4 linked regions of the Drosophila melanogaster genome follow. The protein of the gene in region 1 purifies or fractionates together with the protein of each later gene. This does not show direct contact. Each region holds a gene or a part of one and is shown on either strand. Other genes may lie near its edges.

Region 1 (6,685 bases):
CGACCTGAAGCCATCGAACGAGGCCAACATCTTCAAGCACAACATCCTTACCGTCTTCCCCAACCGAGATCAACTGGGTCGTCGCATTTTGGTCCTCGAACTGGGCAGTAAGTACACTGAAAGAAGGATACTTCAATATATTAGCTTTTGAGTGCAAAGATCTCGATCTTCAGAGTAAAGTTTATTTTAGTTAAGATGCAGGTTTTCCTATCATTTGAAGTTTCATAGTTGCTCCAAGCATTGAGCAGATCCTGTATTAATCTTTCGTAATCCCCGATTACAGAGCGCTGGAAGCACAAGCAGGTCACCCTCGATGAGGTGTTCAAGGGAGCTGTGCTCTTCCTGGAGGCGGCCATGCTGGAGCCAGAAACACAGATCTGCGGAGCCGTTGTGATCTTCGACATGGATGGCCTCAGTCTCCAGCAAACGTGGCAGTTTACGCCTCCGTTCGCCAAGCGCATTGTGGACTGGCTTCAGGACTCGGTGCCGCTCCGGATCAAGGCCATTCACATCGTGAACCAGCCGAAGATTTTCCAGGTGGTCTTTGCCCTGTTCAAGCCCTTCCTCAAGGAGAAGCTGCGCAGCAGGATCATCTTCCATGGCACCGATCGCGAGTCCCTGCACAAATACATGTCGCCCAAGTGCCTGCCAGCCGCCTACGGAGGATTCCGGGAGGCCAGCCGCATCGACAGCGACCAGTGGTACCAGCTGCTGCTCAAGTGCGACACCGAGTTCGACACCATCAACTCGTACGGCTACAAGAAGAAGTGATCTGTGGCCACCGGCCTGGTGCTGCTCGTGATAATCAACTCCACTCGTTTCCACACGTCTTCACATTAAGCCCACGTGGAGCGTTATAGTTAAGCACTCGATCTACCATACGCTTGTCCTGTTAGTGAGTAGCGCCTAGAGTTTGCCTTAGTCTTAACCAGGATCGGAGTGTCGATCGCAGCCAGAAGAAGTGTTATACCTACATGCATATTATTTTAATCCGGGGTAAGCGTATTTATATCATTTTACTATTGTACATTAAACCAATTGTTAAAATATAAACATACTTTGTAAACAAACACGTGCGGTATTCATATTTATTCGTTTGTTCCCAGCTTTCACATCAGATAAACACACTTAAGGCACTCCGAAATTATGCAATATATAAGGAAAAAATGTAGTGATTACATTCTGATTGCCTTATGCGTAGTACATTAGACACCTAAAGCTTGCTTTCCTCAAGCAAGACACTTGGTTATGGTAAAGCTTATATACGATTGTTATAAGAGTATTTCATACCGCATATATTCGATACGGTAACATAACAAAATAATAACTTAGTAAGATAATATTAAAGCATAGCAAGTAAAAATGGAGATCCTATTCTTGACATAGAAGCTAGCTCATAGTTAGCTCGCTGTGAAGCATAGTTCCCTTAGAATATCAACCACAACGAGGCAATCCACTCTCTACAGCCATCAACATTGGGTGGATGGGTTGCCTTTCGGTCTGAAGCTCCTGCCCCTCCGCGGACTGGAATGCATTGAATCTGAAGGTCAACCCGGCGGGGTGAGTGGTTAAATTAAGCGTAAGTTTCCTGACAGCTCCTGTCTGTCTGCTCATAGCCGATAATTGGTGGCTGGCGCCTTGCTGGCGTTGCGCTTCTGGCCGAACACTTTCTTGCCCGGACTGTGCATGGCGGCATCATCGCCATCCGCGTCCTGCCCTACGCCGCCGCCACCGCCTCCTCCGCCTGTGCAACAGATGCGCCGCTGCACCAGGCGAATGGGGCGGGTGAGGTCAATGGTGTCGCCGTGCTGGCGCAGTTCCGCCTCGGCCACGCACTCCATGTGCCGCCACTGGCGAAGGCCAAGGACGAACGCATCCGTCACATTGGTGGCCGCCTTCGATGACGTCTCGATGTGGCAGGCCACCTTCTGCTCCGCGCACCACTGCTGCACTGCGTCGGAGCTCACCTGTCGCTTCTGCGCCGGAATGTCGTTCTACAATTGGAAGCAATTAACCTTTTAAACTCAAGATGAACGTTCTGCAAGCATGGCTCACCTTATTTCCCACCACGATGAATGGAAACTTGTCCTGGTCCACATCTGCGTAGTTGAGGAACTCATTGCGCCACACACCCAATCCCTTCAAGCTGTCCCGGTCGTCGAGTGCGTAGCAGAGCAGACAGATGTCCGATCCTCTGTAGAACGGGGTGCGTAGAGCCCGGAATCGCTCCTGGCCAGCGGTGTCCCATATCTAGTTTGGGGAAATTCCAATTAAGGCAATGCATCAATTAAGTTTGATTGAATTGGCGATTCAAATGGCGCTCAATTGAAATTTGCATTCGATTAGAAGCAAACTCACTGAGAAACAAACACTTTCGCCGTTTGAAAACCTATGGAGTGTTTGCATGCCTGACTGACTCACTTATATCAACACATTTACTGTCATTTCTTGTGTGTTAATTAAATATTTAGTTTTGAACTGATAACGAGGTGGTGATAAGCAATTAGCTCAGGAAATAGTTCGTTGAATCTGAATTTTCGAGTAGCATACATACTTTAAATATTTATTTTATACTTTTATTTATTTTATACTTTCGAACATGAGGTTATACTTTTAGCTCTAACAATGGATACTTTAAACTTCTTTATCTAATATAAACACCTTTGGCCTCCAAACACATGGGTGGAATAACCCTTTTAGGGTGTGAGTACTGCCCATGGTAACTAAGTGACTCCATACATATGTACATATGTATATAGGTAGTGCAAAAAACACCCCAGTGATTCCACGATTTTTTGCAGCACTGGGAAATCCGCTTTTGGCCAAGTTCTTCCTGTGCCCAGCGAACTGTGAACCAGCAAACTATGCGAGATTCCCGTCGGATTAGTCATATGTATATCAATCAGTCCACATTCGCTACTTCCTACTTTATAATGTATCTGCTGGTCCAATTAGAATTATTATTCCGATTTGCGACACCTTGGCTGCATTTTGCTTACTCACTGAGACGCGCTGCATATTCATGAGTTTTCCGAGCTTGGCGAACTGTGAAAATCATTTAGTTCGATACTTTTGAAGACAACAGTCCGAATGGAAAATGGAAAACAACTGCGATGCGGATGAGATGGAGCGGGGGAAACCGCGTCGGCGGATGAAACAAAGTCTCTCACTTGTTTGCCGAATGGCGAAACTGTCATTATTGTTATTATTTCAGTTTTTTGTTTCTGCAATGCCATTCCGTTCTCAACGCTAATTGAGTAGAAATCTAATGTTCATATATGTGTGTGTGTGAGTGGGGATGGGGCAGATGGAACAGATACCCCCATAATGTAGGTACAGCTACAGTGGAAAAAACTACGTAATTAATTGATTGCACATATTTTTTTCTTAATTTCAAATGCAAGACTCAAAAACGTGTCAGTAAGATAATACTTTTCTCTGGTATACGAGTGTTTCAAATGGTTCAAGGAATGTATAGTCAATGTTTCCTTGTTTAAATGGTTTAATTTGTTAGCACTTCTGTTTTTACCCTGTTTAACTTACTAAAGTTCCACTGTGCCGCGAATGTAAGGGAATGGAAAACAAGGCTTAATCGTTGTGTAGTTTCTAAGTGTTTGCATCAACAAAATGCCGGTGGATCGGGCACAACCATGCGACGGTGGGATAGATCCGTTTGGGGGGGGGGGGAGGGGGTTAGTGTTTAAGTGAAATACACTTGAAGGAAATACGCTTGGCCAACTGTTGCATTCACCATAAGAATTGCAAAAGTTCTACGGCCTTGCCGCAATATCGGTATTACTATTACTCCTAGTCAGTAGTTGGATTGCATAATAGTCATAGTCGTAGTCTTCACCTGCAGAGTGTAGCGCTCCCCGTCGACGACTATGTCCTTGTTCATGAACTCCACGCCGATGGTGTGGAAGTTGTTCTCCTCGTAGCGATTGGCGACGAATCGGGTGAGCAGGGCGGACTTGCCAACGCCTCCGTCGCCCAGTATGACGACCTTCAGCAGCTTGGACTTCTGCGGCGGCCGCATGTTCGTCATAGTGCCTGCGTTTGTTTGTTCTTGCAGTTAAGTCCGGCGGCAACAGCAGTGGCTAGATTTCTTTGGCCTTTTCCTACTGCGCAGCTTGGTTGACTGCCGGCTGCAGTGAGTTTTCGGCTTAATTGCACTCACGATTCCCGAGCGATTAGCAGGCGCACATACAGAATTGCACACGGCGTGTTGTTAACAACGAATATAATTCGTTTTTTTTCGTTTAAATAAATCGAAATGGGCAGCTCAATCAAAATTCGCGCCGTGCAGCAGGTCCAATTGGATTGGCAGTCAGCTGACAACTAACAGACCGGGCCTTTGGCCTAACATAATGCTAAGCTCGCCGTTAACAGAGCGCCAGTGTGGGGTGACCACAGCTCACTTAACAGCTTAACTACATAACTGTTAACTTTGAATAAAAAAACGAAAACCTCTTAACAAATTCTATAAAAATTTTAATTCGTTATTAACTAAATTGACAGCCATCGGACCAAATGTTTATTGACTTAATCACAATAATAAATTAGACTTAGCCCTTGATAACTGCAATTGGGCGCATCTTGATGCACTTTTTGCTGATGCCAGCTGCGTGACAGGTGTCGACCACATCGGTCACGTCCTTGTAAGATTCGGGTGCCTCCTCCATGACCAGTTTGGGCGAGGCCACGCGTATGGCGATGCCCAACTGGTCCAGCTTGTCCAGCACATCCTTGTAGTCCAGATTGCGCCGGGATTTGGCTCGAGATAGTGCACGACCCTAAAGATTCAAGGAGGTTTTAGTCTGGCGAACAGGAAGAAACGGGATTTGGTTACTCACCGCTCCGTGGCAAGTGCTACCGAACGTCTCCTGCATGCCCTGCTCCGTTCCAGTTAGCACGTAACTGCAAGTGCCCATGGTTCCACCGACGAGGACTGGCTGCCCGGTAAGCTGATAGTCCACTGGGATCAGGGGATGGTGTGGCGGGAAGGCGCGCGTGGAGCCCTTCCGGTGAACCAACAGCTTCCGCTCCTTGCCGTCCACCATGTGGTTCTCCACCTTGGCAATATTGTGCGAAACGTCATAGATAACGTGCATGTCGAGATCATCGGGTGTGGTGTTAAACATCTTGGCAAACGCTTGACGGGTGAGGAATGTCATGGAGCTGCGATTCACCCAGGCAAAGTTCGCAGCCGCCGCCATGGCCTTCAAGTAGTCCTGTCCCTCCACCGAATTGATCCTGGCGCAGGCCAGCTGCCGGTCATTGGTCTCGATCTTGTCCCGCTTCATGGCCTTCTCCATCTGGACCAGGGCGTCGGTAGCGACCTGGTGGCCGAAGCCACGACTGCCCGAGTGAATCATCACCACCACCTGGCCCTTCTCCTCGATGCCCATCTTGGAGGCGCTCCACTTGTCGTAGATTTCGTCCACCACCTGGATCTCGGCGTAGTGATTGCCCGCACCCAGAGTGCCCAGCTGGGGCAGCCCTCGCTTCTTGGCCCGCATGCTCACCTTGGCGGGATCGGCGTTCAGCATGCGGCCGTACTCCTCGCAATGCTCCTTGTCCTCCGCCCACACGTATCCCTCGCGCAGCGACCAGTCCATGCCCATTTCGAGGGCCTCCTCCAGATCGCGGGCATTCATGGGTATGATGCCCTTGGAGCCCACACCCACGGGTATGTGATCGAACAGGGACTGCGCCAGTTGCTCCTTCACCGGCTGCACATCCTTCTCGTACAGATTCGTGCGCAGCAGACGCACGCCACAGTTGATGTCGAAACCCACGCCGCCGGGACTTACAACGGACAGCGGATCGTTCATGTCGAAAGCAGCCATGTTCCCGATGGCAAATCCGTAGCCGGAATGAATGTCGGGCAGTCCAATGGACCTGCCCACGATGCCCGGCAACGCGGCCACATTGGCTATCTGCTTGACGCCAGGCAGGAAGCCACCCACTGCGCCCGGGCGACAGGAGTTCTTCAGCTCCTCCAGCATCAGGCGCTCCAGCCGGCTGTTCACATAGAAACACCCCTCCACATTCATATTTGGCTGGAAGCCCTTCTTGATGCGCCAGCAGTGGTCGCTCACTTTCTCCAGGTACCGGAGCTCATCGTTGTACGGACGCACCACCATCCTGACTCTCCGGTCGTTCTCTTTGCCAGCCAATCGCTTCTTAAGCTATTTATATTTATGAGCTATTTCACCAGTTTTTTATTTCTGAATTGCATGCCGGCACAAAATATTTGTCAGCGATACTATCGCAGTGCGCGATGTGTAAAATACCAGACTTAAAGCGATACGAAAAATACCGCCTTTACACTTGCAAACCAATTGTCAAATATCGTATTAAGGTAAATTTATTTGCTTAAATTAAATTAAAAATGCTAACAAATTGAACAGCGCTGTGTTATTAAGTTATCCTGCTAACATATTTATGTGGTGGTATGCTTGCATTAAGCAAAGTATGTTGCCCAGCTTATCTGTGCGAAAGCAAGCAGTTTAAACTAAGCAGTATTCTCTCTAACGGAAATTTAAAACTTAAGTCAAATTGTATTCAATTATCTACTTTTATTAACTCAAATTAGTGCAAACGAGAAATTGAATTCTGTCGAAAAGAAGAGCTTTTCGGTTGTACATTTGTTTGAGTGTGTATTTTAAATGCAATTGCAATC
Region 2 (5,692 bases), on another chromosome or scaffold:
TTGTGAAAGAGCTTGTGACCAATTCGTGAGGTGTGCGTTTCGACGGACTCGGAGGTCACTGCATACACGACATAGTCGTTGATATGGACCTGGATAACAGGTGCCGTGAAGCTGTAGCTGGCCACTGGCTTTTCGTTCTCACTGTACCACTTTCCTTGCGCAGAGAACTGGTACAGAAAGCCGTCCACACTGCTGGCCACGAGGAGGGCGTGTCCTATGCACCTCTGGTGCTGAGAAGACTTAAGCGTCCGGCGGTTTACGTGCTTAAACGTGGTCACAGCACTGGGCACCTGTTGGTTGCCCATGTCATACTCATCGTCCTCCTGGTCTACTTCCTGGCTGTTCCTTTGGTAAATGGCCTTGAGGTCCATGCAACGAAAGATGTCCAGAACGCGCGGTTGATTCTCCGAGGTCTTCATGCAGATCTGCAACAGCTTGCGCACATCATATTGCACCGACGCATCATCCAGATGACTGCTCCCGGATATGCCCCTCACATTCATTGCCTTGGCCTCGTTCACGAGCTTGATTTTAATGTCTGAGGCACGTTGAGGGCTGATGGTGATATCTAGGTTGTCATCCTGACCCTTTCCTGCTCCGTAGTCCGTAGTCTCGTCCCACTGAGATCGCAGTTCCGGCTCAAATTCCCTGCCGTACGCATTGTTCACCAGCTTGGCCACGTTAAAGTCTAACGGTGACCGTCCAGGCAAGGCACCATTCATGACAACCTGTGGTTTTGCACTGCTCGTCGATTGTAGGGAATCGCTGTCGCAGCTCTGCTGGCTGTGACTGGAACTGACCACGCCCCCACCTGCGCCGCTGGCACTGGCCTTACTGCCCAAGCTTAGGGATTCCGAAAGCGGCTCGTCTCCGCCAACGTAGTCGTTATCCAGACAGCTTACATCCTGCCCTCCACTGGCTCTGCTAGTAAGTGCATCCACAACCTTAAAGGCCACGCAGTAGCGATTGCTGAGACAGGCGATTACGTTCTCGGCTAGACACAGACGCACAGGGACGAAGTTTAGTTGCACGAAGAACTTAAAGGGCAGAAAGTCGATGAAAGCGAACCTAGGCTGCGTGTTCTCATGAACGCACTGGGTGTATTCGTAGAGGTAAATCCTGTCACGACTGCTCACAATGATGTTTCCGGATGTCTGGCAGCATTGCACCAGCTCCGGCGGACTGCGCAACGGCAGCTCAATCACATCGATGCTCTCCACCAACGGTGTCTTGGGCGTGGTCATCGAAGCTATTCGAATGGTAATGGGCAGCTCGTTTAGCCGGCTGTCCGGGAACTTCCAGAAGTTGGCGTAGATGCGTACGAACATCTTCGTGTCGTCCTCAGAGCAGACTGTATTGCTGTTGCTGCTTGATGTGCAGCTAATGGTGGAGGAGGAGTGCACCGGACTGCCCGCCTGTTCCTTTTCAAGAGTAAGTAGGTATTTGCCTGAGGAAGATTCATCTTTAGTAGCGTTTTCAGATACATATACATAATATATACTCACCAGCTTCACAGTAAATAAGTTGCACCACTTCTCCCACCGTGGCCAGCGTGCTCCTGCTCGGCGTCCTCTCATCACCAGCGGTGGTGGTGGATTCTCCTGCCGTCTCATTGGATTGTCCAACGTCCTCTGGTGCCGTTCTTGTGTGGTCCTCAGATTGAGCCTGCTTGGCACCTATGTCGTAGATCTCGATGAACTGTTCAGCACTGCTGATGGCTATGCGGTTGTTCCCGATAAGGCTGGCCGCCAGGATGTCACCGTTGAGGGCATACGTCTGCTGCCTGGCAAAGTTGTAGGCCTGCAGGATCTTCACCATGGTGGCTCTCTACAAAAAAGACGATGAATTCTTTTTTTACGGCACTCTAGAATTACAAACTAAGCCCTCAGCTTAGTGGAGTGACTTCATCGCCGGACGTACACAGACTGATGGCCTCACCGTGAATCAGCCACTAGAGCAGGGAGTTCTCTGACTGAGCGTGGGACAGAGAAAGGGAGAAGTCCGAGTGACAGTGGATTGGCGGACCGCTTAGCGGGGCTCAAGTGGTTCTTATTTGGGCATGTGAACCATTAGCATAATTGTGCGCTTATACTGGGGTTAGGGATCGGAAGAGTGGATGTGCCGATGAGGCCTAAGGCTAGCGCATATGGGCAAGCTAGGCTAGGATAGGGCAGTTAAAAAGTGAAGCACTTAAATTTAATAAGAGTTAGCCGCAGAATATTTCGGGATTGTAGATAAAGTCGCGATCAAAATTAAATCTTTAATCGGTAAAAATTTTGTTAATCTACGATATATGTATGTATACTATCTGGAGTCACAAAAAGTAGGGAAGCAAATAAAACTGTGATAAATACATTTTAAATTGAAAATCCAAAAATATCACTCGCAGTACACCTTTTTCATTCACCATCCGTCTTTCAGAATCATAGATATGCAATCGAACTTTTGAACACCTTTTTTAAAAGAGAGAGTGGTACATTTGGTAAAACAAGAACCCGTCCCAACGTCGTGCGGCATCAAGTATTCCAATAGGTCAGTGCTGCACCTTTACTTCAGGTGGAAGTCCTGCGTTGTTGTATTGTACGCTTTGACCATAGAGTAAACAGACAGGAAATTAGGTCACGATAGTATACAAAAACACGCCCTTCCTGATTTCCGCCGCCCACCACCACCGGCATTCTATGAGGCGATTAAAGTGGGCCCGGTATCCCAACCCCGATTCCGAGTAGCTATACGTGAGTTAGCCCAATTAAGCCATTGGACATTCGCTGGACATACCACTCGGCGCATCAATCAAAACAGCCGGCCAGGAGGCGGACACGGAAGTGGCATAGCCGGAAATAGACAAGGATTGAGATTTATTTCTGGTCGCTCGGTCAAATCAATAATTCCCGCGTAATCCGTGCGTTAACCCAAATGAACTTGGGAAATGGAGAAGCCAGAACATGCAAATGTGTGTTACGGCGGGGAATGGGGTCACTAAGAGATGTGTGTGCGTTTTCAGTTGCATTTTGGCAGCGGCTTATATGGAAAAATCAATATCTAAGCATTTTGTTAGAAGGTGCCGCTGGAAACTTGGCAAATAATTTACTCTTTGGCAATGTCTTACGTTTAAACTCGTTTTATTATTCCATACAGAAAAACAGAAGACAGGGTTTAAGGATTTCTGAAATGCATTCTTCTTCGGCGTAGATGTTCCGACAATATATGTTACTTATTATTAGGTGGTAGTTATGCCACGTAAATATAACTCCCAGGACTCCCCGGACTGCACATAATATTTACTCGCGTTTGTTTATATTATTTCCGAGTGAGAAACGACAAACTATAAAATATCCAATATAGTGTGACCAGGTTTTGCTCTAATGCGAAGTACGGATTGGGTAGAGATAAGTATTTTTCAAACTACGCTAGACTACAAAGCATCGATACAAGGGTACGTTATTTAATACTCTCTAATTTTGAATTTCTAAATAGCTTAGTAATAAGAGAGTCTTTAAAAGTATAAAGCTCCACTACTATCGAAAATATGTTTTCAACAAAATTCTTTACTTTTACTTTAAGGAATATCTAACTAAGAAATGATTTATATCGAAGATATAACACAACTGCTTTGATATGTGTTAAAGAGCATATTTTTATTATTATTATTCCGAATTCTTTTATCAGATTTAAATATGGGAAACACTTTAATGTATTCAGTATTCAAAAATGCATCGGTATTTTAAGAAGTCCCCGCCACGGCCACACTCCTGGCGCGCAGTGAAATTCGCGCAATAATACGAAATGAAATCATGTCCAGCGCACGCAGCCATGTCAGCATGCAGAACAAGTACGACCGCGTGGTCCTGCTGGTGGACATGGACTGCTTCTTTTGCCAGGTGGAGGAGAAGCAGCATCCGGAATACCGCAACCGCCCGCTGGCCGTCGTCCAGTACAATCCCTGGCGAGGTGGCGGCATCATAGCAGTGAACTACGCCGCTCGTGCCAAGGGAGTCACTCGCCACATGCGCGGCGACGAGGCGAAGGACCTGTGTCCGGAGATCGTGCTCTGCCAGGTGCCGAATATCCGGGAGAAGGCCGATACTAGCAAGTACCGCGATGCCGGCAAGGAGGTGGCCAACGTGCTGCAGCGATTTACGCAGCTCCTGGAGCGCGCTTCCGTGGATGAGGCGTACTTGGACATAACGGAGACCGTTAACCATCGCATGCAGCAGATGCAGAGTGTAAGCTCTGGCACATAATTTTAAAGCGTTTTATTATTATTTTCCTCGTTGCAGGGAGCCTTTGCATTGCAACCGCAGGAACTGGTGAACACCTTTGCTGTGGGCTATCCCAGCATTGGCGACTACGTCAACAAGATAACAAATCGCTTCGCCAATCCCTACATGGACGACGAACGCTACCAGATGTCCTACGACCAAAACGACCTTCCCGCCGTCCGACAAAGCGACATTCGGCTTCTTATTGGAGCCTCTGTGGCAGGTGAAGTCCGCGCGGCTGTAAAAAAAGAGACAGGCTACGAGTGCTCGGCTGGCATAGCGCACAATAAGATCCTGGCCAAGTTGGCAGCTGGAATGAACAAGCCCAACAAGCAGACTATTTTGCCGTTGACGGAGACCGCCAGCCTCTTCGACTCCTTGCCTGTTGGCAAGATCAAGGGGCTGGGTGGCAAATTCGGTGAGGTGGTGTGTGAGACATTAGGCATAAAGTTCATGGGCCAGGTGGTCAAGTTTTCGGAGGTAGATCTGCAGCGCAAGTTTGACGAGAAGAATGGGTGGGTCCCTTAAGAGGAGTAGACCACGTTCAAAGTAACTTATTTCCTCTTATTCCAGAACCTGGCTATTTAACATCTCTCGCGGCATAGACCTGGAAGCCGTGACTCCCCGCTTCTATTCGAAAAGCATTGGCTGCTGTAAAAAGTTTCCGGGTCGAAATAACATTACGGGGTTGAAAACCCTTCAACATTGGCTTGGTGAGCTTTCCTCCGAGATCAACGACCGCCTTGAGAAGGACTTCATCGAGAACAATCGCAGGGCCAAACATATGGTGGTGCAATATGTGCAGGACATTGACGGCGAGGAGGTGGCCAGCTCCCGCTCGACTGCTCTCAGAGATTACGACCAGGAGTCCATCGTAAGGCTTTCTCTAGACCTAATCAAGGCAAACACTAAAACGTTTCTGCGTCCTGGTAGCGAGTCTGCTTTAAACAATGCTATCAAGTTCCTTGGCATTAGTGTTGGCAAGTTCGAAACCGTCTCTAGTGGGCAAAACAAGCTGCAGGAGATGTTTGCTAACCAGGCTGCCAAGAAACGAAGGGTAAGTGGAGATGAGCCAGGGCAACTGCCTAAAGTTGAAATGGAGAAAAAGCAGAAGCAAACGGACGAATTTAAGATGAAGAGCTTCTTTGCAAACTATTTGCAAGGAGCTAAAAAAGAGGATGCGAAAGCAGACGGCATTTCTGCGAATCCCTTGGCTGCTGCAGCAGGTGCTCCAAACAAGAATTTCGTAGAGGAATACAAACATAAGCTTCATGCGGCCGTAAGGACTGAAGGAACTGTTCTCACATCAACACCAGCGGAGTTCAAGGAAAGCTTTTTTTCACAGTACCTAAAACAACAAAAAAAGACAGGACAGCAAGGGTCGGTTACATCGAGGGAGGACTCCTTAGATGTGCAGGAGCTGGCCGAGG
Region 3 (9,032 bases), on another chromosome or scaffold:
TAGGTCAGAACTTACGTCAAGATTTGATTGAATTAGATCATACATTATAATGGATAACTCTGACCAAATGCCATCCAGTATCCTCTGGAAATTAATCTCATTGAGAGTATCGTAGAGTGTGGCCAATGAGGATTCCAGGTACATCATTAACTGGTCCATGGAGTTGGAGTCCTTGGCGAGCACCTCAGCACCTTCGGCCAAGTATCGTCTAATTGGCGGTGCCATTTTCCTGGCCACAATCTCTATGAGCTCAACAATCTGATTGCGTTCGGTGTCCAATGCATTTTCAATGACAGTTTTGATGGTGCTTGCGCATCTCTCAGCCTCTAAGTTAGTTCGATACTCCCCCAATCTCTTGATAATGTCATCAATGCTAAGTTCCTGAAATAAATTATTTGTTTTCAATAAATTTGTTTGATTTAGGTAAATAAAACCTCTACCTTTATGAATGAAGGTAAGCTCTGCCGGATGTAATCCATGTTGTTTATCGCTATGCACCACTCCTCCGACAAAACTATAAAATAAATAAATTCAATACAAACAATATATGATAAAAAATGGTTTCCAATAGAACTTACTGAAATTTTTATTGTTATCATCAGCAATAAAAATATTCTCAACTCTGCGGGACATCTGTTGGGCATAAAATATGCAGCAGCGACAAAGATCCTGTAAAATTATAATAATTAGTAAAGATAACATAACTATATTTGTATTCAATCTCACATTGACGATTTTGGCTACGAAGATGTAGGAACCCTCGACCTCTGGCCAGTCAAGTTGTTGCCAAAATATCTTGATTTGGTAGAATATGGAAAGTGTGTCCACTGCCGAGGAGCTGTATTTCACTGTTTCATCGACCGCTTTCAGCTGATCCAAATCAATTGCTTTCTGGATGCGACTCAATGCCTTAATTATTGAAATATCCAGCCAGTGGGTAACTCCCCTCTCGAACCACGGGTAAAAGTTGGACAGTTCCAGGGGCTCGGAGCAAAGAGATTCTCCTGTAAACAGAAAAATCAATTAGTGATTTGCTAAGAGTGAGGACTTCAGTACTTTACCTAATTGAACGTAACGTTTGAGTATTAAATAGACTTCAAACAAAGTCGTGCCCATATTTACATTCTCAAGGTTGGGTAAATATTCGAATTGATCGTCTGGCACATCCAATCTCTTAATATTATTGCACACTTCTATTATAATCGATTTACAGATTTCAGCAAGCTTGGAGTCATAAAATAAATAAAGTACAGCGGAATAGTTAAGCTGAATTTTGCTGGAAATGAACAAGGTAAATAATAAATGATTGATTGATTCATCGATGCACAATTGTAAAACTTACTGGTAAAAGATTTTATCGAAGTATTCCATTGCACGTTGCAGGTCAGACCGCACCATTTGTATCAGTTTAATGACGTACTGCAGCTTTTCGTCATCGGTTTCGGTGTTCTTAGATTGCCTGCTGCCCTCCACTATGTGCTCCAGCCATTCCCTTGTCCCCGTGTTGATAGCATCCTCAATGGCAGTATCAATATTGCACGTTTCATCAGTGTCGTTTGTGTGTAGCCAACCATACACCGATTTGGGGAATATGTCTACACTCTCCGGCACTTCCAGCTCCTTAATCTTCTTTAGAATATCCAGAACTTCGTTCAGAGCTCTAATTATGTTTTTATCACTGGTGTTTTTGGATCTTAGTTTCCTTAGCACTGCGAAGCACGAGGGAAGCAGTCGTTTCACGCCATCCCAGAATGTTTTCACATCCTCGGAGTCGTTCTGCATGTAAGTAATCACTGGCACCACCACGTCCAGAATTGAATTGAATAGTGTGAAATTGAGTTTGTGCGTCTCATGGATGGTGCTGTACGCGTGCCACTGGCTGAGCGCACAGTCGAAAGGAGTTAGCCCACTCTGGGCAGCATGCTGGGATCGAATGAGTTCGGCATTGGGACTGAACTTGCCGCTCCACCAGTAGTTGGCCACCTGCGAGGTTTCCAGCTCGTACATCAGGAGCAGTTTCAGTAGGTTCTTGTGCTCCTGAACGGCGACACTTTTGTTCTTCTCCGCACTCAAGGCCAGATTAACCAGAAGTGATCCTCGACTGCGTCCCTTGCTTCCCTTTTCCAGGTTATACCATACGGTGAGGCCGGAAACGGGAATAGACTGAAGGATATGTGTGTTTTTTTTTTAGTGTTAAGATCTTTGATAATATTAGATCTTTTCCTACCTTCAATGTAATTGCAGCTCTCCCAATCAGTTCATTATCATGTTTTCCCGAGGAAGCTGTTACAGCAATTTCCTTCATCAGCTTGCTAAGTCCTTTCACACCCTTAACATCCAGGATTTTGTTGACTTTTTCCTTGACGGTTTCCGCAGCATCAAAGTCCCTGAAAAAAGGTAAAATATTAAATGGGAATCATGCGTTAAAATAGATAAATGGGATTCTAGCATGAAATTCTAATGTTATAAAACTAACACAACGTACTTTACTTTAACTACTCAAACATATTTCAAAAAGAATGATGAGTTTTTAAGATGCCATACCTTCGAGTTAGTTAGTTTCAGACCATAAACCTATTGATCCGCGATAAGTGCAATTTAGAGTTCAAGAAACGTTATCAGCCAGATAACGTAGGTTTTATGAGTGCGTTATATGAGTTCAATATGCAAACAAAGTCACACTTACCACACTTCAACGATAAGAACTTCGTCTCGAGCATTTTCAGTAATTGGCCTAGCAAGAAAATAAACATTAACAAATATATATCAGTTTTTATACGAAATAATCAAGACTCACAGTGAAAAGTGCTCCTCCCATATGGGATTCAATGTGGCAGGCTTGACCGATGAGTTGTATCGATGGGAGCCATTCGATTCCAAGTACAGGGTAACAAACGGATCGGACAAGCCGTTTGAGTCCTTGGACATGAGGTTCTCGGCCTTTATAATCTCGACATTTAGTCTAACATTGGGCGGTTCTTTCAGTCGCGCCGCCTCATAAATTTCCTCATGAGTGGCGTTCGGAATTTTGAATGCATCCTGCACGAATTCGACCAAACTGTTTGTGCACTCTTCGTTGTTTTCACAGCCAATGTTGTTGAAAATTTCAAATAATATCTCTTCATAGAGATCTGTGACCTGCAAAAGCAAAGGCAACAATTAGTTTAATCCCAAAACGCAGGCGACATTTATAAACCATCTAATCGGTGAAGTATTTTAATTTCTTTGAGCAAAAATAGAAATAAGTCACTTCTCTAAAGGTCAAAGCCTAAGTAAATATCGACAAATTCCAGAATACGGAAATATAAACAAATCTTCGCAGGGAAATTGGAAAAACAGACCCAGCTGAGGTCATGTTTGCTTAGATACATTCTATATAAGTATCTACTGGATGCTCGCTACAGTGAAATGTTTTATCATTCCCATAAACTATCCACTAACATAAATATTGACTTAGCTCCAAATTCGAATCAATAAACTTCTTAGAATGTTCACATTTTCGCTGATTTTTTTTTTGGTATCTTCTAGCTACACTTTACATAATTTTCAATTATGATTTTGGCAAAAAAAAAACAAGTACATAAATATATGTATTTAAGCACTGAAATACTCTGTGCACTTAACTCGAGTGACTCAACAATTATGCCAAATCAATGAACTTATACAATCGCTTTTGTTTACCGAGGCACTGATGAACCGATTCCCTCGGATATTCTTAAGATCAGTTCATTATGGATTACAGATATATCCATATCTAGATATAGCATCCAAACTTCGTTCTCTACTTACGGTCATCGAGTGGCAGACCGCCTTGGCATGGGAATCAAGTAAATGCTTGTGGACACCACGGAAGTGTCGACTGGAAATGCTTCCATTCCGATTCAGTATGCTCATCCGTCGCTCGAATGGTTTGTTGAGCGACTGGGTGGAGGATGCCTTCCGCGGCAGTCTGATTTCGTCGCATCCGGTGCGCGTACTGGATCTAGTTAGGCTATTGGTTTTCGAACTTTGGTTAGACGAACTGTGGTTTTGGGAGCCGAACTTGCTCAGAACACGTGGTAGCGATAGGTAGCTCATGATCGAACCCAGCCACTAACCGATCACTCCACTTTTTCAATGTTTTTCTCTAGGTGCAAGCGAAATTGAAATTTTTGGCAAATACTCTCTGGCAAATATACAATTCGATATAGACGCACATATTATCGAGCACGATCGGATGCGCTGGTGGACAGATCGTGGACACCCACGGACTCAGGAACACCGACTGGACACAACCGCTTCGGAGAAGAGTCTGTAGCTAAGTACAATAGCGTCCGGTGTGGGAAATCTTTGCGATATCCGAAATATCTTGACGTTGACCATGAGATAAAAAGTGTATGCGCTCAATTCGATTCAGATTGCTTGGTGTATTTGTGCATACTCGTATGTACACGATGATGGCCAAGTGTTTGTGAGCAATAATAAAGCAATCTTAAGAGAAAATGGTCTATTTTCGGATACAAAAAGGAAAAGCTCAAGGTGGTAATGAAAAATGTATTTTCTAAAGTACATTAAGCTTTCTCCCCGCCTCCCTTCAATTGGCCGCTCTAGGGTTCTTCAATGTTTGCATGTTCTGCAGTGCTTGTTTATGCTGTCAGTATACATTATTCGGTTTGTTTATACAGTCCGACTATATAGGCAAGTTCTTTTGTTTATTGTGCAAGCGTTTCGTTTCTATGGACACGACTTCATTTTCGGTTTCTGTTCAATTAAACTACACCTGCCCAGACGGCAAACATGCGAACAGCAAAATGTTGGCACAAGATAAAACATTGAATTAACTCGTAGGCGATCGTTACGCCGCGCTGCAAACTGGAAAACTGACCTATGTCGCAACTTCCTCGGTAGTCGGGCCTAGGAATTACACATGACGTGAATGTGACCAGGCTCAAAAGCCATCCATATTCACCAATACCCACCATGGTGGATAGCTAGTTTGGGAGTCGACCTGGTAAAACCCAAACTGAATGACGGAGCTTTATCTTGATGTACTTTCACTCGAATCCTAAAAGCTACAGTGCATACTAACCCAACAATTCAAAACGAGTTCGTAAAGCGGCGATTATCAATACTCTATCATGAATATATATGTATATATATATTAGGGCGGATTAAACCATAAATCATCCTTAAACTGAGTTTTACGAATTCACAAGAGCTCGTATGAATCACATGTATAAATATGAAAAATCTCTTAACGTACGCATTTGGGAGTATGTAAGATACTAAATTAAATAAATAATTTAGTAATCTTATGATTAAACTATAGGTTACGTTTAGTATAAGCTGGAGCTCTATTAGTTGCACCAGTTGGAATGCAGTTTGATTGTCTGATTCGTTGTGACCTTTTAATGGCTTTGTCAACCTGATTCACAGCACTGATTTCTCAATTACAAAACTTACATTCATCACTGGCGCCGAGTCCAGAACTGAAGTGCTGATATCCTTGTCCGAACTGGACGCCAGTGTACTCTCGGTGGCAAAGGTATCGATGCTGGTGCACTCCGAATCCTGGCTGAGTTGCAAAGTGCCATCGGGACTCTCGTCCGAATCTTCTTCTCCGCCGCTGCCATTTTCCTCCAAGGGAGCCAGTGAACTTTTGAGGACGCCCTCATCGATTTGGGACTTCTGCCGCAGTAGGGATCCAAACTTTTCGAAAAATCCATCATCTCCGTCTTGCAGTCTGCGGAAAAAGTGCAATTAGTAAATAATTCGAAAAAAGTCATTAAATATTATCTGCACTGGCTAGTCATCACTTAATGGGGATTTCATTTCGATTAGGGATACTCGTACTATGAGCAAGCTTATGTAGATGTATTTGAAAGCCCAGTGAAAAATACCCTAAAACTGAGTCATGTTTTAGTTGCGAGTGGGTGGTAAAATCGATCTGTGGCTTCCCCCACTCCCTTACATCACTTGCCATTCCTCACGCACACACGTTAATTTCACTTGATAATCTTTAATTTATCTGATGACACAGTTCCAGTTCTCCAAAATGTTCATATTTGTCTAGAGAAATAGAAACACACATTTCGGCTCGTCTGGCGAACAAATGTTTGTCTATCGGTGAGTTTTCAAGTTTTCTACAGGTATGCGTGAGTCTGTATTTTATTCATCCAACTTACTGGTGTTCATGCTCCGTGGGTGGATTCATTTTGAGCTCCTGCAACTTGAAGAAGAAGCCCTTCCACATCTGCTCCTCGTCCATTGTGATGTTGCGTTTTTAGCTTCAGAGGCACTGAATCGAAATCGGAATCCAACAAGTGTCACCGGAGTGTAGAAACATACTAACGGCTTATTTGCACCGAAACCGAAACGAACAAACGATGTGATTCATTGCCAAAGCTGCTCTCCGACGTAGATTTTTCTCAGTGGTATTCACACGCTCTTCCCTACACTATCGCAAACACATTATAATGAGCTATGGATGTTTGTAGTATCTAACATTGGGCGAAAGTGGGGAAATGGGAAGGAACGGGATGATACATACAGACAGACACCTGTTGCCATGGTGATCGGACGTTTTTTCTAGCTCTCATGCTAATGATTTTAAAAACTTATAGTTTGTAACTCTTGAAATTGTTGAATGAAAATCCATTAAGAAGTTACCAATCATCAATGGTTCTAATGGTGGTAAGCCTCACGCACACCTGTTTATGTACATATACTCTTGAAGGGCTAGGTGTTGGTATTCTTGTAACTACCTTTGCAGACTGGTGCTTCCATGGTCAAACTACGCACTTTAAGGCACATTTTCAGATGCCAAGCTAAATTATGTGCGCAACTATTTAACTACTTTAAAAACATACCTTATTTTTTCAAATATCCTTAATTCCGAGCGCCGGAAGTAACTTTTTAACATGATTAAGTCCTTTGCAAGGTCAGAATGCCAGATTGAATTAGGCTAAGAGGATTTGCAAATCCATTAGGAATTTCCTTAATTTCAATTCGAATTAACGTCTCCGTTTGTTTTTTTCGCACCCTTTAAAACTTTATTTATATCTTTTAAAATAAACAAAGATTAGATTAGATCAGTTTTGTTTATTAATTTGGTATGTAAGATATACCAACATAAATGAATCTACCGAATACCGTATTTCGATAACTTACGAATGGCAGCCCTGCAGTCCGATAATCATAACAAACCCACGGCAATAACAACAAACAAATCGTATCTCTTGTTTTTGCTGAAATTATAAATTAAAAAGCAATGAATTTAAAGTATAAGCGGCGCTACGAGAGCTTAAAACGCTCCGTCAAGAGTTATCTACTGGTAAGATCTTAGAAACTAGGGCGAAGTTATGCAAACTTAAGAGTATTTACAAGAAACCTTAAGATTCCTACTCACATATATGTTTACATTATAGCATAAAACATTTACGGGAAGTTATATGATCTATTAACTTTATAATACCAATTTCAGGAGAACGCCGCCCTCACGGATGAGATCTGTCGTCTGCAGGCCGAACTATCTGTGACCCGATCCCAAAGACTTTACTTGATAGAGCGCCTCATGTTTCACGAGGGCTTGGAGAAATCCAACAGTGGACGACCCAGTGTCTCGAATGGAAAAAACGACGCCGCTGAAACCACAAAGAAATACAGTCCTGTAGTTTCGCATAAGAACCCCGTCGAAGATAAGCCAAAAAATGTTACAATTGTACGGAAAAAGAAGCCCATGTTTCCGATGAACCTAAATAATGTATTACTCCACTCACTGGGCGAGATTATATCAGTGAATCCCAATTTTCACACTGAGAGCTGGATATATCCCGTGGGATATGTGGCCACACGAATCTACGCCCATCCCAAGGATCCGCGCAAGAAGTGTGTGTTCACATGTAAGATTTTAAATAACGCCGGGATTCCTCAGTTCCAAATAATACCCGACAATGATCTGGATGGAGTTTTCTTCGGAGAAAGCGCCAATATGTGTCACATGGAGCTTCTAAACTCCATTCAGCGGTCTCCCTGCGTTAAAATTAAAATACCGTTCGACGTACAGGGCGAGGTTTTCTTTGGCTTGTCAAACCAAAAAACACAATCGCTGCTTATGATGGATCCTGCCTTTCATCAGTGCACGAATTTCAAGGGATTCGCGGTGCAGAATGTGCAGTCCTTAAACAGCGCGTCTTTATCCTTTGAGACGCTCCAGGGATTTCTATCTTGATAAGATCTGTTTTTACTATTTGATTCTCGATATAAGAATAATAAGTTTATAATATAAAGACGAATTTTATTTCTCTGATACAATCGTTGCGAGAAGTACTTAGTTATGTACCTAAGTATGTACCTGGTACATGATACGAAAACACTAAAAACCCGAAACAGCTGATCTGTTTCAATTCCATCTCGTCCGTTTCAAAATATACTTTCCAGCTGTATAATACGTTATAATACAGTTTAAAATATTAAATTATTACGAGTGTTTGGGACAGATTGGTTAACAATTTCCAGTTAAATAGATAACATATTATTCTAAAAACTCTTTGTCCCACTTCCGCATGATTCAATGTGCTAAAATCATATGTTTTATGTGGGCATTCGCGGTTATTTCAAATGAAACTGTGCATTTGTACAATTGTTGTCAACTATCGACTTTTCTATAGAAATGCCGAAAAAAACAAGCTGGCAACCTGCCGAGGCAATCGGAAATACAACCCTCGAATCGAAACATATGTACACAACACCTATCTGAAAAGTATTAAACAATATTTTGGGAAAGTTGTTTTGGCTAGCGTTAAATTAAACGACATCCCAACCAGCAGCTGAGGATATAGCCAACCAACAGAATCGGAATCAATCAAGATGGGGAGCATAGAAAAGGCGTGCATATCGGGATTTCTATGCCGACTGTGTTCAGAGATGCACCGCACAGTAATACATATTTATAGTGATCATGGCCAGCGTTTGTGTCTTGTTGAGAAAATCAACGGTTACCTACCAATTACAGTGAGTATTGCCAACTAATGGACGCTGCTGAAAAGGCGGAG
Region 4 (8,897 bases), on another chromosome or scaffold:
TTTCAAAACGTGGCCGCACAAACGTCCAGGCGCCCATGTTGCGATGCTCCTCCTGGCTCCAAACAAAAGCTGCACGCAGAGAAAATATATATAGTGGTACAATATATATATCAAGAAAGATATTAGTTATATTTTTTCGTGTATAAAAACGATAGCAAATACAGATCCGGTCAACTTTGTGGCCTAAGTTTACGATGGACTCACATTGCACGTTGCCGTACTGGGCCAGCTGGGCCTGCAGCTCCTGGATGGGGAAAGGACACAGGGACTCCAGGCGCAGAATGGCCGTGTCGTAGGCCTGCCGCTTCTCCCGCTCCTCGGCGAGAGTGTAGTAGTGCTTTCCACTGCACAGGATGACCTTGCGCACCTGCTCAGGCTTCGCTATGGTGTCTCCTATCGTTGGGGGTGGGTAATAACAGGGGAAAGTAAAGAAGAAAATGTGGATTAATATCGTAGTATAATAACCCTGAATTTACGTAAACATCTTTTTACAATTCATAGGAGCAGGACAGCATATAAAAAGATATATGTGGCATTAAAAGTCAATTATGTGCTTTGCAAATCTGAAAAGTTTATATTGCTAGTTTGCCTTTATGTATGTGGCCAATAACTATTTTGGCCAACGAGGTGTATTTTTAATAGATTTAACTATAGTAGTTTTCTACATATTTGCCTAGGGACAGAGACATAGTACCCTAGTCATGCCATGACCCCACTCGCTATCCCTCGAGTCCGTGAAGATAAACAGAAGCCATTACTCACCCAGGACATTGTGGAAGAGCGTGCCCGGCTGGAAGTCCTCGTGCGTGGATGTGGCCGCAGGAAGACGGAGCAACGTTTTGGGGGCCACCACCACGAGGGGCTTGCGGAAGTTCCTTGCCAGTTGGCGACGCAGCACATGATAGTATTGGGCGGGCGTGGTGGGGTTCACGATGTGCACGTTGACGGAATCGCCATCGGCGGATGTTTCCTTGGAGTCGCAGAGCTGCAGGAAGCGCTCGATGCGACAGGAACTGTGCTCCGATGCAGCGCCGTCGTATCCGTGGGGCAGTAGCATCACAAGGGCGTTGGACTCCATCCACTTGGCTAGTTAAGAAATTCTTTAAAATCAGTACGGAGAAAAGATGCTATTTCCATCTCACTTTCTCCCGAGACGATGAAGGTGTCGATTATAATTTGTGCTCCATTGGCAAAGTCACCAAACTGCGCTTCCCAGATAATCAGGTTGTTGGGATTGTCAATGGCCATGCCGTACTCGAATCCCAGCACCGCCTCCTCCGACAGAATACTGTGAGCCAGCTCCAGTTTTCCACCGTTTCCGCCCTCCATGCTGTTCAAGGGAATGAACATCTCGTTGGTCTGCTGATCCACCAGCATGGCGTGGCGATGGGAGAAGGTTCCCCGACCCACGTCCTCACCACTGATCCTCACATTGTGTCCCTGGTACATCAGGCTCCCAATAGCCAGGGCTTCGGCTGTGGACCAATCGATCTTGACTCCGTTTTCCAGTTTCTTCAGCCGAGCATTGACATGCGTTTTCAGCAGGTGGGGATGGATGTTCTGTTACCCAGGAAAAAACCTTTAGAATATATATATATACACATATCTGAGCTAACTTACAAAGTCTTCGGGGAAAGTCACACTCTGCTGACCAATGTAATGAAGTAGTGAGTAATCCAAGCCAGTGTCCCAATAGGTTAGCTCCTTGGAGGGAGCCAACTGAAAGTTCGTCCACTGCTTCTCGAAGTAGGAAGGTGGTGGCTGGTATGCAGGAGCCAAGGCTAGCTCCTCGCCTAGATATTTCATGTACTCATCCCTCATCTCCTTGGCCTTCGATTCTGATAGAACCTGCTCCTTGGCCAACTGCTGGGCATACAAGTCCGGAACCGATTCCCGCTGGTGAACAATCTTGTAGACCAAGGGATTGGTGAAGGTGGGGTCATCCAGCTCGTTGTGACCCCACCTTCTGAAGCAGTTCAGATCAATAAAGATGTCTTTGCGGAATTCCCTCTGGTACCTAAAGGCCAAGCTTGTGACCCTGGCCAAAGCCTCGGGATCATCGCCGTTGACATGGAACACAGGAGCCTGAATAGACTTGGCCAAGTCTGAGGTGTAGGCAGTGGATCGTCCTCGATCTCCGGGCGTGGTGAATCCCACCTGGTTGTTGACAATCAGGTGCAGACTTCCGCCCACCTCGAAGTGAGGCACATAGGCCATGTTGAGGCACTCCTGGTTGATTCCCTGGCCGGCGAACGCAGCATCACCATGAAGGATTACGTTGAGCACGTGCTCTCCAAAGGGCTGACTGCCATCCCCGAAGGCACCCTCTCCTCTGGCTTGCTGTTTCGATCGCGTTTTTCCCATGGCCACAGGATTGGCCGCCTAGAAGTGGGATAAAGGAGGAACACGATGCTTAAATTAGAAATCAAATTTCAAAGTTTGACGTGTGTCGGCTTACCTCCAGATGGGAGGGATTCCGCACCATGCTGAAGCTCAGCTTCTTGCCCAGTATTTTCAGCTGCTCGGAAACATCTGTGTGCGATTCGGTTCAGGTTTTATTAAATTAAGCATACGCCGTGTGTGCTTAGGCCAGCAAGGCTAAGACTGCTTGGCGCACACGAAAAGGATGGGATGAAGGGATTTTAGTTCAAATGAAGACTATGAAATACCCAGGATATTAAAATCCATACCTAGTACTAAATACTTTGGGATAAATAATTGACTATAAATAAGTTATATGTTACATTTTTTCTCCTGTTTCTATTTTACGGTCAATTCAACTTCAGATCCTTCTTGTCCGTGTAATAAACGAATATACCAGAATACCCTACTATACCTGTAAGCCCACCGAACGCCCCGGCAAAGTTTCACTTACGGAAATGACTTATGACGTCGGACATGGCCTCGATGTCTTCGGAAAACTCGGATGCGCCGCTGAGTTTGCGGAAAACTTTCGCCGGCCGCATGTTGAGGAGCGCCGCCTGCAGCGGAGTCCTTCCTCGATGGGGCATCGCCAGGACCACGTGCTCGATGTTCGCTGTCATTCCATTGTATAATTTTTTTTTATCGTTGTCGTCGTTTCCGTTGTTTTTCGGGGTAGCATGCGAGAGGGAAAAGTTTTGAGAAAGCAGATTAGGGTTAAGTAAGCGTGCGATGATATGTGAGCATGCCTGTGGGAAGGAAGTTTGGAATGCTGGCTAGAGTTCAGGTGGGCTAGCTCAAATTCCGAGGAGCAGATTCACCATCTCTGCGGACTGTCACGAGACAAAGTTCGGCGTCTTGAAATGGGTGCGCGATTCCGCGTTTTGCTAATCGCGTTTAAGGAGCGGTCCACACGCACGAGACCGTATAAATCATGTCATAAATATGGGATGAAACTTTGAAATTTGGAATAAAATGGACTTAATCGTAGAAGTTTATGAATGTTGCTTTGCCAAATCGATGTTCAACGGAGTGATGCATCCAAATAACTTCATGATGGCATTGCGTGGGAAACTCACCTTGGACACTGTCACGGAGCAGTTGCCAGAAGAAGGCTAGCATGGACTCGGCTCCTTCGCCTCCGTATCGCTTGACTGTGGGAAACTTGAGTGCCATGAAATTGTCCCAGGCCTGCGACTTAATTAACAGCTCGGCGATTTCGCAGCGCTCGCTTTTTCCCAGCTGCTGCTGGTCCAGCGTCTCAAAGTTCCGGGCCAGCCACTCACGCTCCTCGATGTCCTGCGAAAATGAGGCAGCGGGATCAGCACGCAATGTTTATGGGATGCGGTGGAATGGGATGAGATGCGATAGGACGGGACACCTACCTCGACGTAGGAGAACTCGGCGCTGGTTGAGCGGCCGCAGTAAATGTCCTTGAGCAGCTGCTCCAGCTGGGCGACGTTGTGGGCCACCTGCGGACCACTTAAAAGGCCATCGGTGCGCACCGGCTCCTGTGTCTGCAGTCCATAAAATGCGGGACTTAATTCCTGCAGCTCCTGCTGGCTGTGTCCAGTAGCCACGAAAATTCACAAGACAAATACACGCAGCCGGGGCGATATTACAAAGCAGCCAGAAAGGGAGAATAAAATATGACATTTGCCAGGACGATTTCGGGAGGGGTATGGGAAAATGGGAGCTGGGAGCTGGGTACTGGGTGCTGGAGCCTCCTACCTCGTCCTGATGCTGATGGGATTTACGGCTGCCAATTTGTGCCCATGCTGGCGAAAGGCCTCCACAAAGCGATAGACGTTGGCCTGCGAGTTCCTTGAGGCCCGCACATCCTCGGCCACTGAAACACACGCGTAAACAATATAAATTTCGCCCCACGTTATAAATTATTTAAAAAAGGATTCACGTGCACATCGCCCCGTTGCCACGTTGTTCGGCCTTTTGAATTTATTGGCCTTTTACTTTTATGATATTTATTCTTTGCTTTTTACGCTTTGCTTCACTTTGATGGACTAGCTGCCAGGTATGTGCACTTTTGAATCGTATTTACCCGGCAAATATTTGGCATTCGATATGAATTCGAGTGGAAAATGTCGAAAGGAGTTGGCTAAAGATTTAAATGGGGCTTATTGAGATTGCGTGCAGAACATATATTCTTATCATATACATATATCGTTAGTTATTCCAGTTAGCAGATTTACATCGAATTTAAAACTATAGAGTGTACCACGACGTTTGTGCTTCCCGATGGCAAGCAATTCGTGCTACATATGAGAAATTACGATTGTTGTTTTTATTGCCTTTGTTGGGATATTTTATTCCCTGGTTGAGCCATTGACAACTCGTTGGCTGCTTAGGTGTTTACGTGTTAAAGTGTTATCCTGCTTACAGGATTTATATGCGATGACGCATATCACTCGATTACAGTACCCTGAAAATTCGAAATCCGTGGGACAGCTGGCATTTGCCAGTTAGACCGACCCCAAGTCGTCCTCAGAAATTTATGCAATTTCTCGACGGCATTTCGGCCATAAATCAATTTAATGTTAAAGAGTAGGTCGCTTGGACAGGAGCACAGGGTGTATGATGAATTGTATTTGCGGTGACAACATTTCAGCTTGAGCGTGTAAATATTATTGGAGCACAGCGGCGCGTCCTTTGCCAAGGATAATGATTGCCCTGACAGAAATGCAGCCAAAGGACGAACGGCAAACAAGGCGAATTATACCGATACTACACTGAGGCAAAACTAACGCTTAAAGTCAGTTTTAGTACGCTTTACCATAATTCAAAATACTGGTCAATTGGGTTTGCTTTAGAATATCTAACATACTTTTCCAAAGCCTGAGTAAATCCTAGACTTGATTTTCTCTATGTGCATCATCCTAGGCGCCTGATGTCACATGGTCAAGCGTTGAAGGCTTTCCTCTGGTGCCCAGTCAAAGGCTCCTGGCAGACTATCCAACTACCAACTACCAACTGGTGACTGGTGTCTGTTGGCCATGGTGTCGATAAGCCCCAATTGTGTACGCAACGGATGCAGGACAAGCACAAAGAAGCTCCCGTTTTGGGGTCCTTTGTTTGCCGGGCTTTGATATTTAGCCGGGTCCTTTTTGGACTCCCTGCCGTGCGTTTTGGGAAAAGATATAGTATCTCTGCACTGGACATCCGCCTCTCTTCACTTAATTAGTGCACTGCACGGGGGGTCTGCCACAATCTCCTCATTCTAATTATAAATTCGGGGTACTGGGTGTAGCGCCATATATTTCGGGTTTATCAGATTTCAGAGTGAAAACATGTGATAAGCTGAGAACGTGGAGATTAGCTTGGGTAGGTAACAGGAAAGACGGTAACATTAAAACCATAAAAAATATTCCACCAGTCAACAGGAGCTGTTCTTTCTCGATAGTATGAGAGGCATAAACAATGAACTTCAATTTAAAAAATATTTTGCGAAATTAAGTTAAACCTGAAGTTAGTGAAAATAATCCTAGGTATCCATACGTATTCCCGTATATACCCTCCGATTACAGGGTATACAAATGATATATCTTCTTTAAACTGGTTTTCGAATTCACCCACAGCAATTTGCACTTGATCTCTTGTTCAGGCTGTTGTTTTATTGCAGTTTCTGCGGGGATTGTTGTGGGTCAGCTGCTTGAATTCCGCTGATAAATAGCCGGCTGGAAAATCCGACACGAACGCACACACACGCACACAATGTCACTTCGTCGGTTTTTCTTTTTGCTTGGGTAGATTTCCACTGCCCATTCATATGAATGTTTGATCCCGAAAGACTCTTATCGATGCGATGGTTATCTCGACGGATGAGGTTTTTATTGAAGTCTTGGCAACACACTTGTTTACAACCGTACCTTGAAATTCACGCTGGGCAATCGGCTTATAGCCCCAAACGCCCTTTTCGCTGTGATAGCACCGCGATTGTGGGCGTGGCAGTTTTGCGATTCCCGCCTCCGAAAGCGCCAGATAACGCAGCATGCTGATGGATTAAAAACGAGGCGTGTATGCCGGATCACCTGATAAGTTCGCAGCGAAATCGCGGTCTCTTCTCGCCGCCGTTCGACCCAGAACTAAGGGCAATTCACTTTTGTTTGAAGCCGGGACCCCCATATTCCAAATAAACTAAATTGCTGATAAGCTGGGAAATAAACCGGGAGAGAACAAATCCCTCCGAAAAGTAGTGCCTACTTTTGGGCTGGTGGTGTGATATGATCGCTGTTAATTAACAGAGCGCTTGTTAAACACATGTATGAGATGATAATGAATTTCAAAATAGTTTCTTATCAGTTAACTAAAGCTGATAATGCAACAGGTTCGTTGGCCAATAATGGATTGCCTTTGAGAGAGGGAAGAGTTGTATCCATTAAATTAGTCATACATATGCTCAGGAATATATTGAAATGAACTGTACCATAGTTAAAAACATTTTTATATTTATATATATATTTTATACATAATTATGCTGTCGTTTGTTTAAAAGATATATGGGGTACATTTTCAACACCAATTTTCCCCTAACAATAACCACTATAAAAATATATCTTATCCTTCGATTTTTATTATAGCAATGTTTATCTGCATTATTGTTTTATAATACCCTTTTAGTCACACAAGTTGATCCTCAAAACGCTTTGATTTTATTAATTTGGAGTTCCCCACTCTGCACTTGATTTCTTCATTAATGAGGACCATGACACTTTCATGTCCTAATGAAATCCATCAGTAGGCTTTTTTACGGGCGGCTGATATTCATAACTCTAAAGCTTCATCGGAAATGCCTATTAATGGTCGGTAATGGGTCATTGTCTATAATTAAACCGGAAGCGTGCTCTCATCAATTTCGCATCACACACATACATGTTTAGGCTTTACAGCCCATTCAGCTTTTCACAAAATGGCCGCGTCATGAGTATGATTAACTGTAATGGAAGTGAATCACAAATCTGCCAGAGACCATTGTCAACAGAGAGAAATATAGGTAACGGTCCCACGAATGGGCATAAACAAATAGGTTGGTAAATTTGGAGCACAGAGAAGAGAGTGAAGCTTCCCGAAAAAGCCAAGCGGGCCGAAGAAGGAATGCGTTATCGGTGCGTAGTATTCCATTGATAAGATATGCCTAGCTTTATCTGGCCGATAAGGCAATGTTTCACAATCGAGTAGACGGCGACAGGTGAACTGAGTTTTGGCAACGCCCCGATCGGGCCGTTAGAGTTAACTTAACTTCAGTCTTAGCTGAGCGGCTCGCTGCAACGAACGTGTTTTCCTGCCTGGTAATTAAAGTTAAAATTGAAAATTGGTGACAAGTGATAAGAGAACTGATAAGCCATTGCCTTAACTGATGATGTCATCAAGTGAAAATTGTTAGAAAATGAGGATATCAGAGGAAAAATAGTGTACAAATTCGCATGAATTGAGTGCTTATTGAGTGATACTTTTATTGTGGATGCCTAATTGATGCCTTTGTGTTTTTCTTTTAGCAGTGAAACGAAAAAACGAATTACCAATTAAGTGACAAATCGAAATCAAGTGAACATGCGTTTCAAACTGTTTGTGGTTTGTGCGCTGGCCTGCGGGTTTATGGCCTTTGTCCTGGCTAACGAGAATATATCGACGGAGGAGTTCGAGGATCAAATAATCAATGCAGTTCCGGAGCCGGTCAAGGTGACTAAGCCCAAAGCTCAGGCGGAATTCGTTGAGGTTCCAAAGGCCACGCCCGCTCCCAAAAAAGCGGAAGCGGACAACCCGAAAACCAAACCACTGGCCCTGCAGAAGCCCACTCTGATTCCCGTGGTGCATGTCAGCAGTCGGGGAACAGATGATATCCTCACCGTCGCGGGACTGAAGCCCGAGAAAATGTTCGGAGCCCTCATCATGCCAAATGACTATTTGGGGGAGCTGTACGACGTGGACAACAGCGGCTACAATTGGGGTGAGTAGGTTTCGTTGTCCCTGGGCTGATTCAGTTCCACCCCATTACTCATACGCCGCGTTGACTATCTTATCAGAACAGCTCAGTGGGTTTCAGTTTGGTTTAGTTACCAATATTTGCTCGATAACCTGTGTTCGGGCATTCAGGTGTAGGTGCTGTAAGCCCCTCTCTCTCTCTCTCTCTCTCTCTCGCTCTGTGTTCTTCCCGATAAGATAATGCCCCAGGTTGAGGCATTAAAAAGCTAACGGTTTCTTGTTTTCCGCTTCGGCAAACAAAACAGGTGCGTGGTGGCATAGTGAATATACGCATATGTATGCACACGAATATAGGTGTGGACACGGCGGACAGCGGGAGCACGGAGTCTTGCGTGATTCAGTTTACAACCTGTGGTAGTGTGTGGATTTAGCAATTCTGTTTTATCAGTCCCCTAGAACTGATATATTGGCTATTCGGAATTGGAATTTTTGCCGTATTAGTCACAGTCATTTGTTAGAATGTAACTGTGTAATAAAAA

The links.
Region 2: the proteins of Rab9 (region 1) and CG14562 purify together in Drosophila melanogaster (affinity purification with mass spectrometry, with the first as the bait; one large-scale study listed by BioGRID). This does not show direct contact.
Region 3: the proteins of Rab9 (region 1) and stac purify together in Drosophila melanogaster (affinity purification with mass spectrometry, with the first as the bait; one large-scale study listed by BioGRID). This does not show direct contact.
Region 4: the proteins of Rab9 (region 1) and CG1544 purify together in Drosophila melanogaster (affinity purification with mass spectrometry, with the first as the bait; one large-scale study listed by BioGRID). This does not show direct contact.

Annotation. Positions count from the first base shown.
Region 1 is NT_033779.5:19,430,232-19,436,916, reverse strand, and holds Rab9 (Rab9), read right to left. Parts: upstream 4,344-6,685; 5' UTR 4,046-4,343; coding exon 3,854-4,045; intron 2,251-3,853; coding exon 2,056-2,250; intron 1,995-2,055; coding exon 1,611-1,994; 3' UTR 1,076-1,610; downstream 1-1,075. Other genes in the region: CG10237 (uncharacterized protein), read left to right, coding at 1-107, 284-771; RtcB RNA ligase, read right to left, coding at 4,566-4,793, 4,854-6,146.
Region 2 is NT_037436.4:21,939,872-21,945,563, reverse strand, and holds the start of CG14562 (uncharacterized protein), read right to left. Parts: upstream 3,344-5,692; 5' UTR 3,110-3,343; intron 1,828-3,109; 5' UTR 1,819-1,827; coding exon 1,506-1,818; intron 1,448-1,505; coding exon 1-1,447. Other genes in the region: PolH (DNA polymerase eta), read left to right, coding at 3,795-4,226, 4,281-4,777, 4,836-5,692.
Region 3 is NT_033777.3:25,054,315-25,063,346, reverse strand, and holds the start of stac (staccato), read right to left. Parts: upstream 6,329-9,032; 5' UTR 6,248-6,328; coding exon 6,165-6,247; intron 5,723-6,164; coding exon 5,443-5,722; intron 4,267-5,442; exon of another isoform or gene 4,078-4,266; coding exon of another isoform or gene 3,790-4,077; intron 3,139-3,789; coding exon 2,798-3,138; intron 2,735-2,797; coding exon 2,687-2,734; intron 2,388-2,686; coding exon 2,228-2,387; intron 2,164-2,227; coding exon 1,343-2,163; intron 1,277-1,342; coding exon 1,062-1,276; intron 1,005-1,061; coding exon 727-1,004; intron 670-726; coding exon 579-669; intron 515-578; coding exon 441-514; intron 382-440; coding exon 16-381; intron 1-15. Other genes in the region: CG31111 (uncharacterized protein), read left to right, coding at 7,250-7,312, 7,463-8,209; CG31109 (uncharacterized protein), read left to right, coding at 8,848-8,991. UniProt on the Drosophila melanogaster protein: Essential for tracheal development in embryos. Functions with the GTPase Rab39 and downstream of dnd, to regulate lumen fusion between previously separate tracheal branches (anastomosis).
Region 4 is NT_033777.3:31,194,544-31,203,440, reverse strand, and holds the start of CG1544 (uncharacterized protein), read right to left. Parts: upstream 6,526-8,897; 5' UTR 6,430-6,525; coding exon 6,306-6,429; intron 4,271-6,305; coding exon 4,153-4,270; intron 3,985-4,152; coding exon 3,807-3,984; intron 3,721-3,806; coding exon 3,501-3,720; intron 3,038-3,500; coding exon 2,876-3,037; intron 2,533-2,875; coding exon 2,459-2,532; intron 2,383-2,458; coding exon 1,621-2,382; intron 1,561-1,620; coding exon 1,143-1,560; intron 1,087-1,142; coding exon 763-1,086; intron 394-762; coding exon 205-393; intron 70-204; coding exon 1-69. Other genes in the region: mesh, read left to right, coding at 7,987-8,383.